Linked DNA regions of Diceros bicornis minor. The protein of the gene in region 1 interacts with the protein of each later gene in a pairwise test. Links are inferred from orthologs where the notes say so. Each region holds a gene or a part of one and is shown on either strand. Other genes may lie near its edges.

Region 1 (8,002 bases):
TATTTTTTTGGAAATATTTAAATATTAAACCATGCTATAAGCAATGAGAGACTTATGTGTTAATAATATATCAGAATTATAGTGATTTCCTCCATTGCTTTAGTTTCTGCTATATCAAGATACCTTTATAATACTATGAAATGAAATAACTATGAACGTAAATTATGGAAGACCAAATGCAATATCATCTCAGGAGAAAGATATCTTGAATTAAAATCTACCTAGAGAGCTAACAAATATTAATTAACTTGAACAGTGAAATTGGCACTAAATTTTATTTTCAATGAGCATACATAGATTTAACCAAAAACTATTGTGAAATTTCCTTTTAAATAGTCAAAAGTTCTTTCAAAATATCCCATCAAAGAAAATATTCATTCTAACTCCCCAGTGATTCTATCTTTGGTGATGACTAATTGTATTTCCCACTCAAGATGTAATCTATTAATACTTTATGTAACTGATGCAAACTTTGGGGATTGTTTGTTTTTTTCAGTACTTTAATTATCAGCTTCAACATGTAAAAATAAAGTTATTTTGTTATACGGTTATTTCCCACCAAAACAGGGTTGCACTATTAATATAACCAATTTTTTAAGAAAGTTGTTATTAAAATAATTTAAAGGAACCCACTTTAAATTCTTTAAATTTAAATTAAACCCACCAGTTCTTAGATCCCACTTTCTCTGTTTCTCCCCAACCAAAATAACATGTGCCTATATGAACATTCAGTTTGCCGTAAGAAACTTAGGTGTGTTTGGTTCAGTTCAGGAAGCATAGGAACAATCCATCACATAGGTTTCTCACTGCAGAAGTAAAATGAACAGTAAGAGCTTCTAGTAATTGCAGAAGTGCTGCTGACCAATTTGAACTGGGATCTGCTTCCAAAAAAAGTTACACTGATATCAAATGCTGAGTCTATGAAATGATCACTGCATTCTAAAAATGACCTTTTTTTCTGGTGAAGATGGAAACCTTCTTGTTATGATTAACCTTTTAACTTTGTCTTAAGAGAGTTTCACTTATGGTTAGTAAAAACCATTAAAAATGAGTGATACTGCTGGTAACTTTCTTAGATATAAACTAATTTGTGATGGAGCATTAAAAGTTCACCTCTGACCTTGTAAAGTAAAAGTTAGATTTTAAGTTTGTGATAGAAGAATCCATCTCATACTAACACTGAAGAACAAATGATACTATTGCTGCAAAGGCACATGAGAAATATGCAGTTCAATCATTGTCATTTATGTGGGATCTTACCTAAAGCATTATAAAGGATAAACATTTTCCAATCTTTCAAACCAATACCTGGAATTACCTTCTTAGGACTGTTAAACCAATTCCGCAAAGGAAGAAAAATATGTAAATATTATATTAAATGACCCTTTCCAAAAAGATAGGACGTATGTTGCGCTATTAGCTACAGAAGAAAACTCACAAATTCTCTGATCGTCAAGTATCTTAACAACTTCATAATGATACAGATAAGTAACGGCTTTGAGGAATTGTCCGTAAAACTTTAGTTTCTCTAAATTGCTTCAATTTAGTTGGCAGCCTGTGCCTTCAAGCCTCCGCGTTCAGTAAGCTTCCCGTTTTGCGTGGCTGCTCGAGTTATCCCTACGTAGATCAGCGCCTTCTGCGTGCACCCTCGCACACCAGCCTCAGGCACATAGCGAACTAGCACTACCCGGATTGTCGTTTGTTTCCCCATACTTGTCTCCGATAATACTCAGTTGGAGGAGGATTTTACTTTCCACTTTAGAAATTTAAATTAGCACCACACGAATACAACTACTATTAAGAATCATCACTCTTCAAGAGTCTGAGTGTGTATTTATTTACAATTTTCTGATACGTTCCTTTAAATCCTCTGAATTCCTAGATTATGTCTTCTTCCCCTAGAAAGGGAAATTTTTACCATTTGGAATAGGCTGCTATTTAAAGAACTCTGAAATCAGAATATTTTCAAAAAACGACAACTTATTTTTTCTCATACTCTCTGCCAAGTTCCATTGCAAGTTCCAAATATTGTGCAATAATTTGGAAATCCAGTTAACGATGGGAAAAATCGAGCCACTCGGAGTCGGGAACTTGCAAGGGAAAAGTCAAGGAGCGGCACCCGCACGCACGCCCAGCGGACACTGCATCCCAGGGTGCACTCCCCTCCCCATCGCTCAGAGGAAAGGTCACGCTTCGCAATCGATTTCACATACTGTCACTTGTTCTTTTTTCTTAACTCTCTGGTAAACTAGTTTGAACCTTGGAGGGCTTAGCGCTGTTGGCTGCAGTGTCGCCCTCGGAGAAACACGTGCCCCCAAATAACAGGACCAAAGCAGCCCCGCCGAATTTGGCGACGGGGAGTCAGAGAGGGCAACAAGACGTGTACCATATTCCCTGCCGCCTCACTATAGTGCGAGAATCCTCCCTGTCATCTCTCCGCCCCCTTTCGCCGAGGGTGCCTGGTGCATCCTTACCTGAGCTATCGCTTTTCCTCTTGCCGCCGCTTCTCTTCTCCGCCTCAGCGGGTGACAGCGCCTGGCGGCCGTAGTCCCCAGGCGCGCACGCGGCCCCGGTCGGGGTGCTGGAGCCCAAGCTGGAAGAGTTGGAACACAGGACCGGTGGGCTGCTTCCCAGCTCCGGGGGCCCTCCCGAGTCCGCCTGGAGGCAGAGGCTGTGCCGAGCTGCACTCGGAGGGGAGGACATCTGCGGGAGGTGCCAGTTGGTTTGCAGAGCTTGGTGCTGTTGCTGTTGGTGGTGGTGATGGTGATGATGGTGGTGGTGGTGGTGCCCCCTGTGATGCTGGCTGGCAAACATGCCCTCCTCGTTGGGGTATCCCGCGATTATGCAAGACGAGGAAGAAGTGGAGAGCTCGGGGTAGGACATATGGTCAGATCTTCCATGGAGGGCGAGAGAGGATTGGGAGAACGGGTGCAAGCCTTGCGCGGTGGCGTGAGGGCTGCGCAGGCAGCCAAAGAGCGGGTGTTCCATAGCATGCAAGTCTCGGGTTCCAGGCAGAAGACTTCACGACGAGTCCAAACGCCACTACCCTCTGTCACTTTTCACTGAAAACCGTGTGACTTTTTCCCTTCCCAAAGCAATAACCGCCCGCGTTTCTGCAGAGCTCGGATAATCCCTGTCCTGAGCCCCAGCGGCCAGCCTCCTTCACATATAAACACTCGGACCTGGAGGAGCTTCCCTCCGAACTACTCAGATGTCAAGAGTAGGAGAGGTTGAAGCCAAAAGAAGGTGGTCCCAGAGAACAGCTTTCAGGGGGAAACGGCTCTGAGAGGTTATAAATAGAGTGTAATGTGAGCTGGGGGCTGGCTTAGGAGGCCAGCGCTGACCACATGCAAACTCCCTCCAAAACTCCCGCTCAGTGTGCGCCACGCGCTCCGAGTTCCACTTCCTATCTCCGGCTGGACGCACGCAGCGCGTCCACGCCCGCCGGCCCCCGCCAGCCGCCAAGGCTGCAAGCGGCGCGCCTGGCGCCTAAACCCCAGCCCCGGCGGGCGTTGGCTCTCCCCTCTCGACTCGGTGCACCGAGGCGCGCCGCGATGCCCGCCAGTCGCAACCCCGCGCCCAGTGTGTGGCCCGCTCACTTCTCTCAGGAAAGGTGTCTTGCTAATGCCACTTTGGCACTGTCATCTGCAGGAGAACTAGGGGTGCGCTCAGCTCTTGAAGAGCACGAAAGGAGCAGTAGAGTTGAGGAAGATCAGAGCTAGTTTGGCGCGCGCTCAGAGAAGTTTTTCAAACTTCGCGTGAACTTGTGCCCTGGACCAAGTGACGAGCCTAGCTTTTTGCAGCTGGTATCTGTGGGTGGGTTGTTAGTAGGTTCGGATGCTAGGTCCGAGGTTGCAGGGAAGTTCCCAGCGGGCAAGAAAAGGCCAGTCTCGGTGCCAAAAGGAGAGGGACCTGGTGGGGTAGGTCGGAGGAAAACGTGGGGCGGTGGCAGTTGTCGATATCCAGACCCTGGTATCCTCACCTGCGGTGCCAGGTGTGTACTCTCTTCCCCTGGTTTCCGCAAATGTCGTCTCTGCTTTCCGCAAATTACCTCCCCTCTGCTTTCCTGGTCCCACTCAATTTCCTAGACACTTGTCCACCAAGAACTTTTTCTGGGACAGGAATATTCCGAAGCGATTTCTTCCCGGTCACATGAGATGTGTATACTGCACGCACTTTTCCAGTCTTTTCCCTCAAGAGCCAGCCCATGTCCCCTCATTTCCCTCCAGAAATCCACCCTCTCTTCCGCTGGAAAATAAATCAGCTAATCGCAACCCTTCCCACCCTCCCCCCAACCCATGCCATGGCTCCGTTTATTGAAAAATATTGCACTTGAATATCTCCCAAAGTTCACTATACCTGGGTGCTTTAGGTCTCCTTGGTTACAATCTTGCATCATAGAAAATGAATTAGAATACTTGCCACCAGTGAATTAGTGCGAGCGACGGCTGATACCGCCACTTTTGATGCTGCCACTTGCTTGAGGGGCGACACTGTCTGCTGGGGGCAGAGTCGTTTGTTTACACAAGGCAAGAAAGCCTCGTGTAATGAGCTGCAGAACAGTTGAGTCCCGCCTGGGACCTGTCGCATCAGGAGAATATTGACGCTCACCTATCCCGCCGGGGGACCCCAAATGTGCCACCAGCAGCGTCGCCCCGCTATTTTCATTGTCTCAGGTGTCCAGAGGATGGGGACCAGGTCTTTGAAGTTGTTAATGGGATTAATGGGGACAGCAAACTGCGCCAGCCATCTGGCTTGAATTAGGAAAAAGTATTGATTAATCTGTGAGAAGTGTCCCCAAGGCAGAACCTTTTCCCTCGCCCAGTCCCTCAGGCTTCAGCCTATCTCCCTTTTCTTTTAAGCCGTACTGCAGAATAGTGGCTTCGCAACAAAGCTTTGCATCCATATGTAAGTCCGAATTGTTTTCCATTGCTTAGAGGTGGGGTGAGGCGGGAGTGATCAGGAATTCTGAGATTTGTAAGTGCTGCTTTCTTTAACGGAAATTGAGCCCTATTTTGAGGGAAATTAGTTTTGCAGACTTCGTTAAAAAAAAAAAAAAAAAGCTAAAACTTTTGTTCACCAGCTGCTCAGCTTCTCAGTCTGGGTCTGAGCTGGAACCTGCTGCAAGCGTTTGACGGTAAGACTTTCTTTGCCGATATGTTTTGGGAATCTAATCTTGCTTTAGACTTCGAAAGGGGGTGTTCTTCAGGTTGCACGTTTCTAAGGGTTTTAACCACTCGCAGGATGGCGTCCAGGGCTTAGACCTTAAGAATGTTTCTTTCTGCCACTCCTCATGCCCTTGACTCTTTAAGGATAAAAAAAGAGGGACTATATTCTTCTAATATCGTCGGAATATTTTTTGAATTTTCATTGTGTTTATGGTTTCAATATGTGCTCTGATATTAAAAGTTGAAGTACAAAGAGCCACACTAAACTTCCCAAACTCGGGTAACTAACTACTCCATGGATTCTGGGTGGAAGCATTAAAGGCTTTATCCAAAGAGAAATTTAGGCACCCACCTCCATAAACAGTAACTAGAAATATTTACTGAATATAATGCTGTCTACTAAAAGCATTGTGGAAAATGTCAGACAAGGCTAACTAAAGATACACTTGATCTGCACACATCAATAAAAAACATCCATAAAGGTCCTTTTGGTTTGCATTACAGTGGTTTGGAAGGGGCGAAGCAATTGGGAAATGAATGGATTTGAATTTAACCAGTGTGTTGCAGGTAACTAGCAACTAGCAAACACAAACTTTTCATCTCCAGGAGCTGCCACTTCTCCTTGAACCTGCCCGATGACTGTGCTGGCTTTTTTCTCACTCACTGTGTCAGATGTTAACAACATGTCCAGAAATTTCTCTACAACCTGCCTCAGTCAGCCAGCCTCTGGAATGGTGGGGCTAGAAGTCTGAGAAAGAAAAATTAGAAAAGGTTAGAAAGGGAAGGAGTCTCTTTGAAAGGCATGTAATTAAAACAAAGCTAGCAGGAAAGGTCTTTTTAATTGAAGACACAAAACGTATAATATCAGTAAAAATGATGAAGTCCAGATTTCTAACAGAAAGCATAATATAAGGAAAACGTTATTTGGAAGAGAAAAAAGTGTGATTCAAAGAAGAAAGGAGTAAAAAGGAGGTCTTGATGCATTCCAGAATTAAATATGACTTTTATTTTTTGTGAATTTCCAAATATATATTAATTACTCCATAAAGTTTTTTTCAAAATTTTCATTTCTTAGAATATTTGGATTAAGATAAAATATGGGTTTTTATTTTCTAGGCCATAGAGAATTTTTTCAAAATGTAATAGGAAAAATTTCTAGCGTTTCCTATGATAGCTACTTCAGTGTCCACATCTATAAAATCTGATGTTGAAAGATGCTTTCTTACCTCTAATGGCTAATTATATCAGGAAGAATGGCAAAAATTACAAAATTTATTATAGAGTTTCTATAGCATTCATTTTAAACTATATATTATATAGTATTTATTCTATATTTACAATATACTTGAATTTTCCTGAAAAATGTTCTATTAATACAAATATTTCTTGCAAGGTTTTGATATCAAGCAGCACATTATAACAAGAGGTTCAATATACAAAAAACGTAAGCTGCTCATCTTTTGTAGGAAACATAATCAAAATTATTTTAAACATGTGCTTGGCTCTTTAAATTTGATAAATATGTATATCATTCCTTCTGCTTAATGAAATGATATTCAATAGTAAAGGCAGCGATTTTTTTTAATTAAGACTTTTATTTTAACGGGACTAGAATTTAAATTAAGCAATCTGAAACATTTATTTTTAAATTTATTTTAAGAGTCATGATGATTCTTTTAAGAGTTGTCATTCTTCTATACACTTGTGACATGAGGCATGATGGGAATAAAATATTTAAAATTAAATATTATCTTTAGCTACAGATATCATAAAACTTTACTTTGCATTTTACCTGCTAGATATATTTGCCTTAGTAACATATAGTTATGATATATGAATTTAAGTATGGAAAATTAAATTGAGACTGGAATTTGTCTCTGAAAGTTTTGTTGAGGATAAAAATATTATTTCTGCTATTTCTCCAAGAATAATAGTTATGTCCTTCAGTTGGTTCTTCTGAAATAAAGAATTTTGAAAATATATTAAAATATGCTAAATACTCAAAGGTAATTTATGTGATTTATGATGCACTCCATTTTTAAAAACTAAGGAATTGCCTTTCTCCAGGAATTATGCATTGTACAATTTAAAAAACAATTTTGCTATGGCTAACTCTTGTTATTTAGTAATTCTATATACTTTTACTGATTTTTATAATAAATAACTATTTTTACATAACACTAACTACTGCTTTCGCAATAAAATTTGTTACATTTCTACATATACTAGAAAAAAATGCATACTTACACATTACTTCTGAAAAGTGTAAAACATCCAACATACTTTGTTTTTCTAATTTCTATCTCTTCCTACATTTGTGATTTCTTTCAGAAATTAGTGTTTTTCTTCAATTCAATTGAGGTACTATATAGTAAATAATATTCAGAAAACTAGCATGAAATGTATATTATGACTGATAAAATTAAATTCATAAATTTAATTAAAAATTCAAAATATATGCAACCTTCCATGATTCCCATTGATTTCCACATACATTTTATGAAATTCTAATTATCTTTTTGTGTGGGGGGGGGAGTGTTAAAATTATGAAGATATTGACTACCTCTCAAATTTTAAAAGCTTCTATCTGAACTTCCTTTTGTCCACCTGTTTTAAACCCAGAATTATTCAACAATGTTACCTCATAATGATGCACATGGGGAATAGTTACATTCAATTCCTACATTTTTATTTGCATTCACCTTTTATGTTATTTTTATTGATTAAAGTACACATTTCAAATTTTTATAGTTGAAAATTTCCTCCTTTACATATCCAATTATAAGAGGGACAGGCACACTAAAGCGAGACAGTTCTATAATGCAATGCTATAA
Region 2 (7,667 bases), on another chromosome or scaffold:
ATCATAGAGAATCAGGATATCCTTTACATTTCCAAGCAAAATCCATTTAAAAACTTTGTCCTTGCCAAACTCCAAAAACAGCCAGTTGAGAGTAATCCAGCAGAGAAATGCATCACCCCAATAAAGCTGTAGGTTTCATCACATGCACCAACAAATCTACATGGCTAGTTTCTGCACTTTTACAGAATTTATTTTACACCTATTATACCAAACAGCATTTTAAGCACTGACATATAAACTCCCTAATAAGATAAAGCAAAGACAAAGGCATTTATCTTATTAGAAATAAGATACACCATCACTTATAGTCTTCAAACATTATTGCACTTTAACTTTCATAATTTGACAATGCATTCATGAAACAAACTGCAGACAACTAGTTTTAACAAGACAAATTAAAGAACACTTTTAAGCAGACGTGACTGTCCTAAATTGTTTATTAGGTAAGAATTTTACAAACATTACTTATATTAGCGGTAACGGTGAAGCTGGAGAGTATTGCGCCTTCTCCAAGCTGCACGGCGAGACCCACCAATAGTGTGGTGGAACTTGTGGCCCTTTCCAAGGCCACGGCTCTTACGGCCTGCAGACGTCAGCCCTCTCATTTCCCTGTGCTTGTGGACTGGTTTGGTGATCCACTGGGTGTCAGGATTTCTTCTGATAGCTTTATGGAATGGATCAATGAGGATAACCTCAAAGAATTTGTACGTGGAATCTTCTCCAACCCAGTAAGAATTCAGGACTCTCAGAGCCCCACAGTGGCGTCCAGCTCGCTCCTAGAATAGGAAAAAAGGCCCAAAGTCAGCCTCCCACATTTCCCATAGTATCAATTTAGGATGCAATAATTCTCTTTAGTTCACCATCAGGTGAGACCGAGGCCTTTCACTAAGCTGCTCAAATATTTACTAAGCATCTCCCCAGAGGCTGAGACCATAAGTATGATAAGGCAGACTTAGTTAAGTAAAACAACGTATTTAAATATCCTTGGATTGATCTGAGATCATTTCCTCTTATTACCCCCCCCAAGGCATAAATGTTAAAATTTAGGATTCTGGAACCTTTTCCTAATACAATAAAGAAGTCACCACACTTTTACAGAAAACTTTAATATTTAGCATATTATTTTAGGCTTTGCAGGCCACAATGGTCTCTTTTTGTCGTCTTTTAAACACAAAAACATTTTTAGCTCATGGAAGGCAACGGGCCCTTGTTTGCTAACCTCTACAACAGAGCACAGCTTAATTTACTAACCCAGAAGGAAAACTTACAACTGACCACAGAAAATAAAGCAATACAAATAAATGCACAGCTTCTATACACCTGGGGAGATGTGCTCTTCAAGACAAAGTTTGCTGCCCTTCAAAAGCTTAGGTTCCACAGGTCCACACTAATCATAAAGCACCCTTTGCAGTATATGTGAGCAAAGACAGATTAAATCAGTAACAGAGACAGAGTCTCTGACATCAACTCTCTACCAAGATTAGTAAAAACTACAAAGCCCATTTTAAACACAATAGGGCTCACCTGTCTACAAATAAACAATCAGAAAAGTTGCCGAAATCCTCCTCCACCATCTCCAGGAGGTGCCAATACTCCTCCTCAAAAACCACTCACCTCGGCAACAGACTGAAGGCTTCGGGCAAACTTGAGCTGGTTAACACCATGATGGACGGGCTTGCCGTAGGTCGCACCCTTAGGAACTGGGCGTTTGCGGCCACCACGGCGCACACGAATGCGATATATGACATAACCTATACGAAAAAATTCACAGCCGTCTTACAAAAGCCGGAAGGGTGGAAGAGTCAATGACTTGTCACTTACGCTCCAACACCGTTACATTTGCGACAAGTCCAATACTATGTATCTGACAGACATAAAACTAATACCAGTTTGACTGGCTTCATGTTAATCACACAGCTGTGGATTAATTTCTATTCCCACTCTACACTCTTCTGGTGGTTTGGTCCAGACTCACACAGGTTTGTAATCTATGACACACTTGCTACTTTAGACACTTGTGTGCACGGTAATTCACGGGCCAACAACTTCTATGCGTTGCAGCCGAAGACAGTTTCTCCCAAAGCCCTACGTGAAGGAACACACGGGGCGATGGCATGTTTTCCTAGTCACCGGTTCCCAGCTTTTCCCGCGGAATATAATTTCATCCAGGCATCCACGCAGACACCACTGACCTTGCTTGGCCTTGTATCCCAGTCTGCGCGCTTTATCGGGCCGGGTGGGGCGGGGGGCCCTGTGGAGAGCAGACAGCTGGCGGTACTGCCAGCAGCGCACCCTGAGCAGAAAGCGCATCACATCCGACTGCTTCTTCCTCCATAGCTCCTGGATGTACTTGTAAGCGCCCATCTCGGCTTACCTTTGAGATAAACCTGCATATTAAAAAATATCATCCATTTTACGTCTAACGAGAAGAGTCCGTCCGTCCATCTTAGTTCCCCACCAACCACTGAGAATGAAAATGGCTCTGCACGAACCACAAGGGAGAGCCAGCTCCAACCCCACCTCTGCGACCCCAGCGGGCAGGCAGACCTTCGTCACATTCCTGCTGAACGAATGAATGGAGCTCGACTTGGGCACTGAGGGGGCGGATGACTGCGGCAAGCGGCGTCCCCCAGGGCCCGGCCTGCAGAGACCTCGCCGACACCACAGGGGAAGGCGCCGCCGCCAAGTCAGCTCTCGAGGAAAAAGCAGTCGCTCTACCTAATCCACCGGCCTCGCTTTACGACGCCCTAGGCCCGGCCCCATCCCTCAGCCCCATGCCTCCCTCTCCTTCACACTCCAGGCCCAGCTCGAATTCGCGCCGCCATCACAACATCCCCCCCATCCCGCCCCGGGGGCCGCCTCTCCACGTCTGCGCTGCCCCACATCCTGATCGAACTCGCGTCGCACAGAAGGCAGGAGACGCTCCGAGGACGTAGGGCCCCCGAGCCTGGATGGCCGAGGGGAAGGGAGATCAGCGGCGGATGGAGTAGCCAACTTCCCCAACACAGCCTACCTGATGGCTGCCGCCAGACGGAAAGGAAAGAGCCTTTCTCCCACAATTCCTTTTGGGCTCCTCCCCCACTTCAGCGAGCCTCTTTCCGGTGGAAAGTTGCGGCCGCCCAGAGCCTCATGGGACATGTAGTTCCGGCAGAGAGCCTGGTGGGCGGTGTTCGGCCGAGATTGGGCGCAGCCTCCTCTATTGTTCCGCCCCCTGCGCCTCAGGGTTCGAGTTTGAGAGGCAGGGGTAACCCAAAAGGCGTGAGTCCGTGGGGAGGCCTCAGCTAGTGAGCGTCGTGGACAGCCCCGCCGCCCGGAGGAGGCAATTTGGGGGTGGGGCTCCAGTGGCCGAGGCTCGCCGCTATCCTCGGTGTCTGCGGAGGCGTACAGGTCTGTGTCGTGAGTGTAGGGTTCGCTTCACCGATGCGGGCTCATCACCTGAGGCTTCACTGGGGGATCCCGGGTGCTCCGCGGTCCCTCTTTTCCCCACAGCCTGGCGCAGAACTCTGGGGCCCCGGGGTGGCTCTGACAGTCCCCCGCGACCCTGCCCGGGCCGCCAGATGAGGCGTTCGTGGTGCGGGGGCTTCGCGGGTGGGGGCCCGCGTCCCGTGCCCCCCGGGTCAATTTGGCTTTACCGCCCGCAGGCCCCAACTCCGAGGGATTTTCCCTTAAAAGAGGTCCGGGGGGAGGGGGAGCGCGGGCGGCTGGTCCACTTTCTATTTCCGTGCCTTTTCTGCGTACGGATTTGGTACGTCAGAACCACAGTTCTTTAGAAAAGCAAAATATTTATTTGCCAAGACCTGGTTGGCAGGTGCGAATGTTTCGGGAAGAAATACCGAGAAAATGCAGGCATTTTGTGTTGCGTTCCTTGTCGAAAAATAGTTTACTAGCTTTTTTGCGTCTGCAGAATATTTTCATTTTTGGTACAATCATGTGGTTTAATTCTCTTAACGAATTCTAAGTTTAAGTGTGGCCAAGGTTTCAGAGAATCATGTTTACCTTCTAAATCATTAGTGGTTTTGGTTGTTTTTTCCCGTTTCCAATTTTCCTCTCTCTTTTTTTTTTTTAATCGCAGCTTTACCATTGTAAGAGACCTCACATGGTTGATTGAGTCATTCAACAAATCTTTATGAAGTGCCTGATATGTGCCAGGCAGTGTTCCAGCTGTTGAGGATGCAGCAGTGGTCAGTGCAGAAATTCTAGCTTTCTTGGAAACGGGCGTAAGATAGATAGTATGTTCGGCGGTAAGTGCTAAGGAGAGATAGTAAGAGGAGAGTAGGGATAGGGAGTGTTGGGCTGGAGGGGGTCGAAATTTTGGACGGAATGTTCAGGGTAAGTCTCCTTGAGAAGTAGCACTTGAGAAAGGACATGAAGGATGGGAGCCTTGGAGAAGTGGGGTCAGCCAGGGGGAAACGAGCCAAGGCTGGAATATGCCTGGATTGATAGAGGAACAGCAAGGAGGCATTGTGGCTGGAATCAACCATAGGGGAAACTAGCAGGTGACGTCAGAGAGGTGAAGGTTCTTATGAGGACTTTGGGTTTTCAAACTGCCTGAGATTGGAAACAATGGAAAGAGTTTGAGCAGAAGGGTGACTTCGTGCGGCTTAACATTTTAACAGATCATATGGATTGCAGCTTTGAGGCTAGAAGGGAAAAAATGGAAGCAGAGAGACTAGTGAGGAGGTTGTGTTAGTTTCCTTTTGCTACTGTACCAAGTTACAGCAAATTTACTGGCTTAAAACAATACAGGTTTATTGTCTTATAGTTCTGTAGGTCAGAAATCTCACTAGGCCGAAATCAGGTTGTCGGTAGTGCTGTGTTCCTTTAGAGGCAGTAGGGGAGAATCCATTTCCTTGCCTTTTCCAGCTTCTAGAGGCCACCTGCATTCCTTGGCTCCTGACCCCTTCCTTCATCTTCAGAGCCAGCATAGTATCTTCAAATCCCTGTCTTTCTCTCTCACTTTCTGACACTCTTGTCTCCCTCTTAAAAAGACACTTGTGATTATATTGGGTCCACCCAGATAATCCAGGGTAATCTCTTCATCTCAAGGGTCTTAATTTAATCACAGCTGTAAAGTCCTTTTTACTACGTAAAATAAAATACTCACAGGTTTTGGGAATTATGACACAGACATCTTTGAGAGACCAGGTGAGAGAAGATGGTGCCTGAGACCACTTCATTAGTGATGGAGGTTGTAAGTGGTCCCCCGTTGGATGTGTGTCAAGGCAGAGGATTTACTGATGGATCAGATGTGGGGTGTGAGAAAAATGAGTCAAGAACGATTGACTACAAATCATTTGGAAAAAAGATTCTGGCAATGTGAATAATCACTGCTAATTTCTTAATTAGTTTTTGCAGTTTTGTTTCTTAATTTGCAGTTTGCTGTTTCTCAGGAGTTTTGCAAGATTTGGATTGGTATCTCCAATTGATTATTTATTTATTGTTTTGGTGAGGAAGATTGGCCCTGAACTAACATCTGTGCCAGTCTTCCTCTTTTTGCTTGAGGAGGATTGTCCCTGAGCTAACATCTGTGCCAGTCTTCCTCTATTTTTTATGTGGGTTGCTGCCACAGCATGGCTTGAGGAGTGGTGTGTAGGTCCGTGCCTTGGATCCGAACCCATGAGCTCCGGGCCACGAAAGTGGAGCATGCAAACTTAACTACTATGCCACTGGGCCAGCCCTCCAATTGATTTTGAGATTCCTGAGGGCAGGGATCATATCTGGTTTTGCCCCCTAGTTTGTCCCTAATGCCTGATAATATGGTAAGCTCTCAGTAAATATTTACTGAATGAATAAAAGAATGGTAAGGGGGCCGGCCAGTGGTGTAGTGGTTGGGTTCGAGGGCTCCACTTCAGTGGCCTGGGGTTCGCAGGTTTGAATCCTGGGCGCAGACCTATGCATTGCTACTCAAGCCATGTGTGGCAGCATCCCATATACAAAATAGAGGAAGATGGGCACAGATGTTAGCTCAGAGCCAATCTTCCTCACCAAGAAAAAAAAAAAGAATGGTAATCCAGAATCAGCTTATTATATTTTATTGTGTTCAATATTGTTTGCAAAAGCCTTTTAATTTGTGTTTATTTAAGTAACATGTATTCATATATGGATAAGTAGAAGTATTGCACACCATACATGATGTTTACATAAATAACTACACAGTATAGAAGTTTTTCCCATGTGATGCTTACATAATAAGATCTGTCTATAACATCTCTCTATGATGTTAACAGTATCTCAGTATTAATATTTTTGTGGTTGCATAAAAAAGTTGTGTCCTGTAAAAGTAGAATAATTTCTTTAGCTAGAAGAACAGAAGTACTGACAATTTGGGGAAGCTGTTTCTGATGGCTCTTCAAAGAGAATATTGACCAGGTCATGTTTTTATTCTCGAGCAACACTATTGGTTTGGAAAGCAAAGCAATATGTATTTAAGACTGCATTGGATTTTGCCTGTTAAGCACCTTTCTCTTAGTCGTTTACATAGATGAGGATTAATAGGTCACAGATTGAATTTTATTGTCCAGCAGTTTCTTAGGGTAGGGACTATAATAAGTAACTCTGACTGCTGCTTTTTGTGTCAACCTCAGTGTTGATGCAGTTTCTGGGTAAGCAGTTTCTGCTCTCATAGTATCACAGTGTTAGAAGGAACCTTAGAGGTCCTTCATCTACTCTGGAGCCTTTCAAACTCTTGAAACCTAGATTTACATAAGAGGCTTGGCGACCTCCAGGATCTATTCATGTGATTCAGTGCTTGTTCAGATACTGCAGATGGCCTCCTTTTTGTACTTGGAAGGAAATGGCGCATATTTATTCTGTTTGGGAATTATGGAATATTATAATGCTTATAGAACTAAGTTTTTATTTATAAATCTGAGTATAAATAAGCATAAGAACCACTTCCTTATGTGTAATGTGAGTCCCCGCCATCATGATCATATTTGGAAAATAAAGTTATTTTTGTATGTGTATTTAATGTAATTCATTCAAAATCTTACATTAGATATTAATTTTTTAAAGAATTCAAACTTTTTAATTGATGGTGGCAGGTCACTAATCTTCAACTTTATATGTAGTAGTAGTGTTTTATTTATTTATTTATTTATTTTTTCCCCCCAAAGCCCCAGTAGATAGTTGTATGTCATAGTTGCACAGCCTTCTAGTTGCTGTATGTGGGACGCGGCCTCAGCATGGCCAGAGAAGCGGTGCGTCGGTGCGCGCCCGGGATCTGAACCCGGGCTGCCAGTAGCGGAGCACGCGCACTTAACCGCTAAGCCACAGGGCCAGCCCTGTAGTAGTATAGTTTCCCACTTGAAGAGAACTAGGAACCTGGAATGTTTGAGTTATGCTTTGGTTAATCACACTTATCCTTTCATCTGTGTTTTCTTTTTTTTATTATTTTTTATTTTTTATGAGGAAGATCAGCCCTGAGCTAACATCCATGCCAATCCTCTTCTTTTTTTTTTTCCTGAGGAAGACTGGCCCTGGGCTAACATCTGTGCTCATCTTCCTCCACTTGATATGGGGTGCTGCCACAGCATGGCCTGACAAGCGGTGCATTGGTCTGTGCCCGGGATCCGAACCTGGGCCACCAGCACTGGAGCGCACACACTTAGCCGCTACGCCGCGGGGTCGGCCCCTGTGTTTTCTTTTTGATGGTGTAAAATATTTAA

What was found.
Region 2: the proteins of MEOX2 (region 1) and RPL15 interact in binary tests that used the Homo sapiens proteins (3 or more experiments, as listed by UniProt). The two-hybrid records come from large-scale screens. The link is inferred for Diceros bicornis minor from reciprocal best matches to the Homo sapiens genes MEOX2 and RPL15.

Annotation. Positions count from the first base shown.
Region 1 is NC_080742.1:42,092,893-42,100,894, forward strand, and holds the start of MEOX2 (homeobox protein MOX-2), read right to left. Parts: upstream 3,051-8,002; 5' UTR 2,989-3,050; coding exon 2,475-2,988; intron 1-2,474. UniProt on the Homo sapiens protein: Mesodermal transcription factor that plays a key role in somitogenesis and somitogenesis and limb muscle differentiation. Required during limb development for normal appendicular muscle formation and for the normal regulation of myogenic genes.
Region 2 is NC_080741.1:29,068,532-29,076,198, reverse strand, and holds RPL15 (large ribosomal subunit protein eL15), read right to left. Parts: upstream 3,053-7,667; 5' UTR 3,014-3,052; intron 2,388-3,013; 5' UTR 2,365-2,387; coding exon 2,193-2,364; intron 1,752-2,192; coding exon 1,615-1,751; intron 777-1,614; coding exon 471-776; 3' UTR 420-470; downstream 1-419.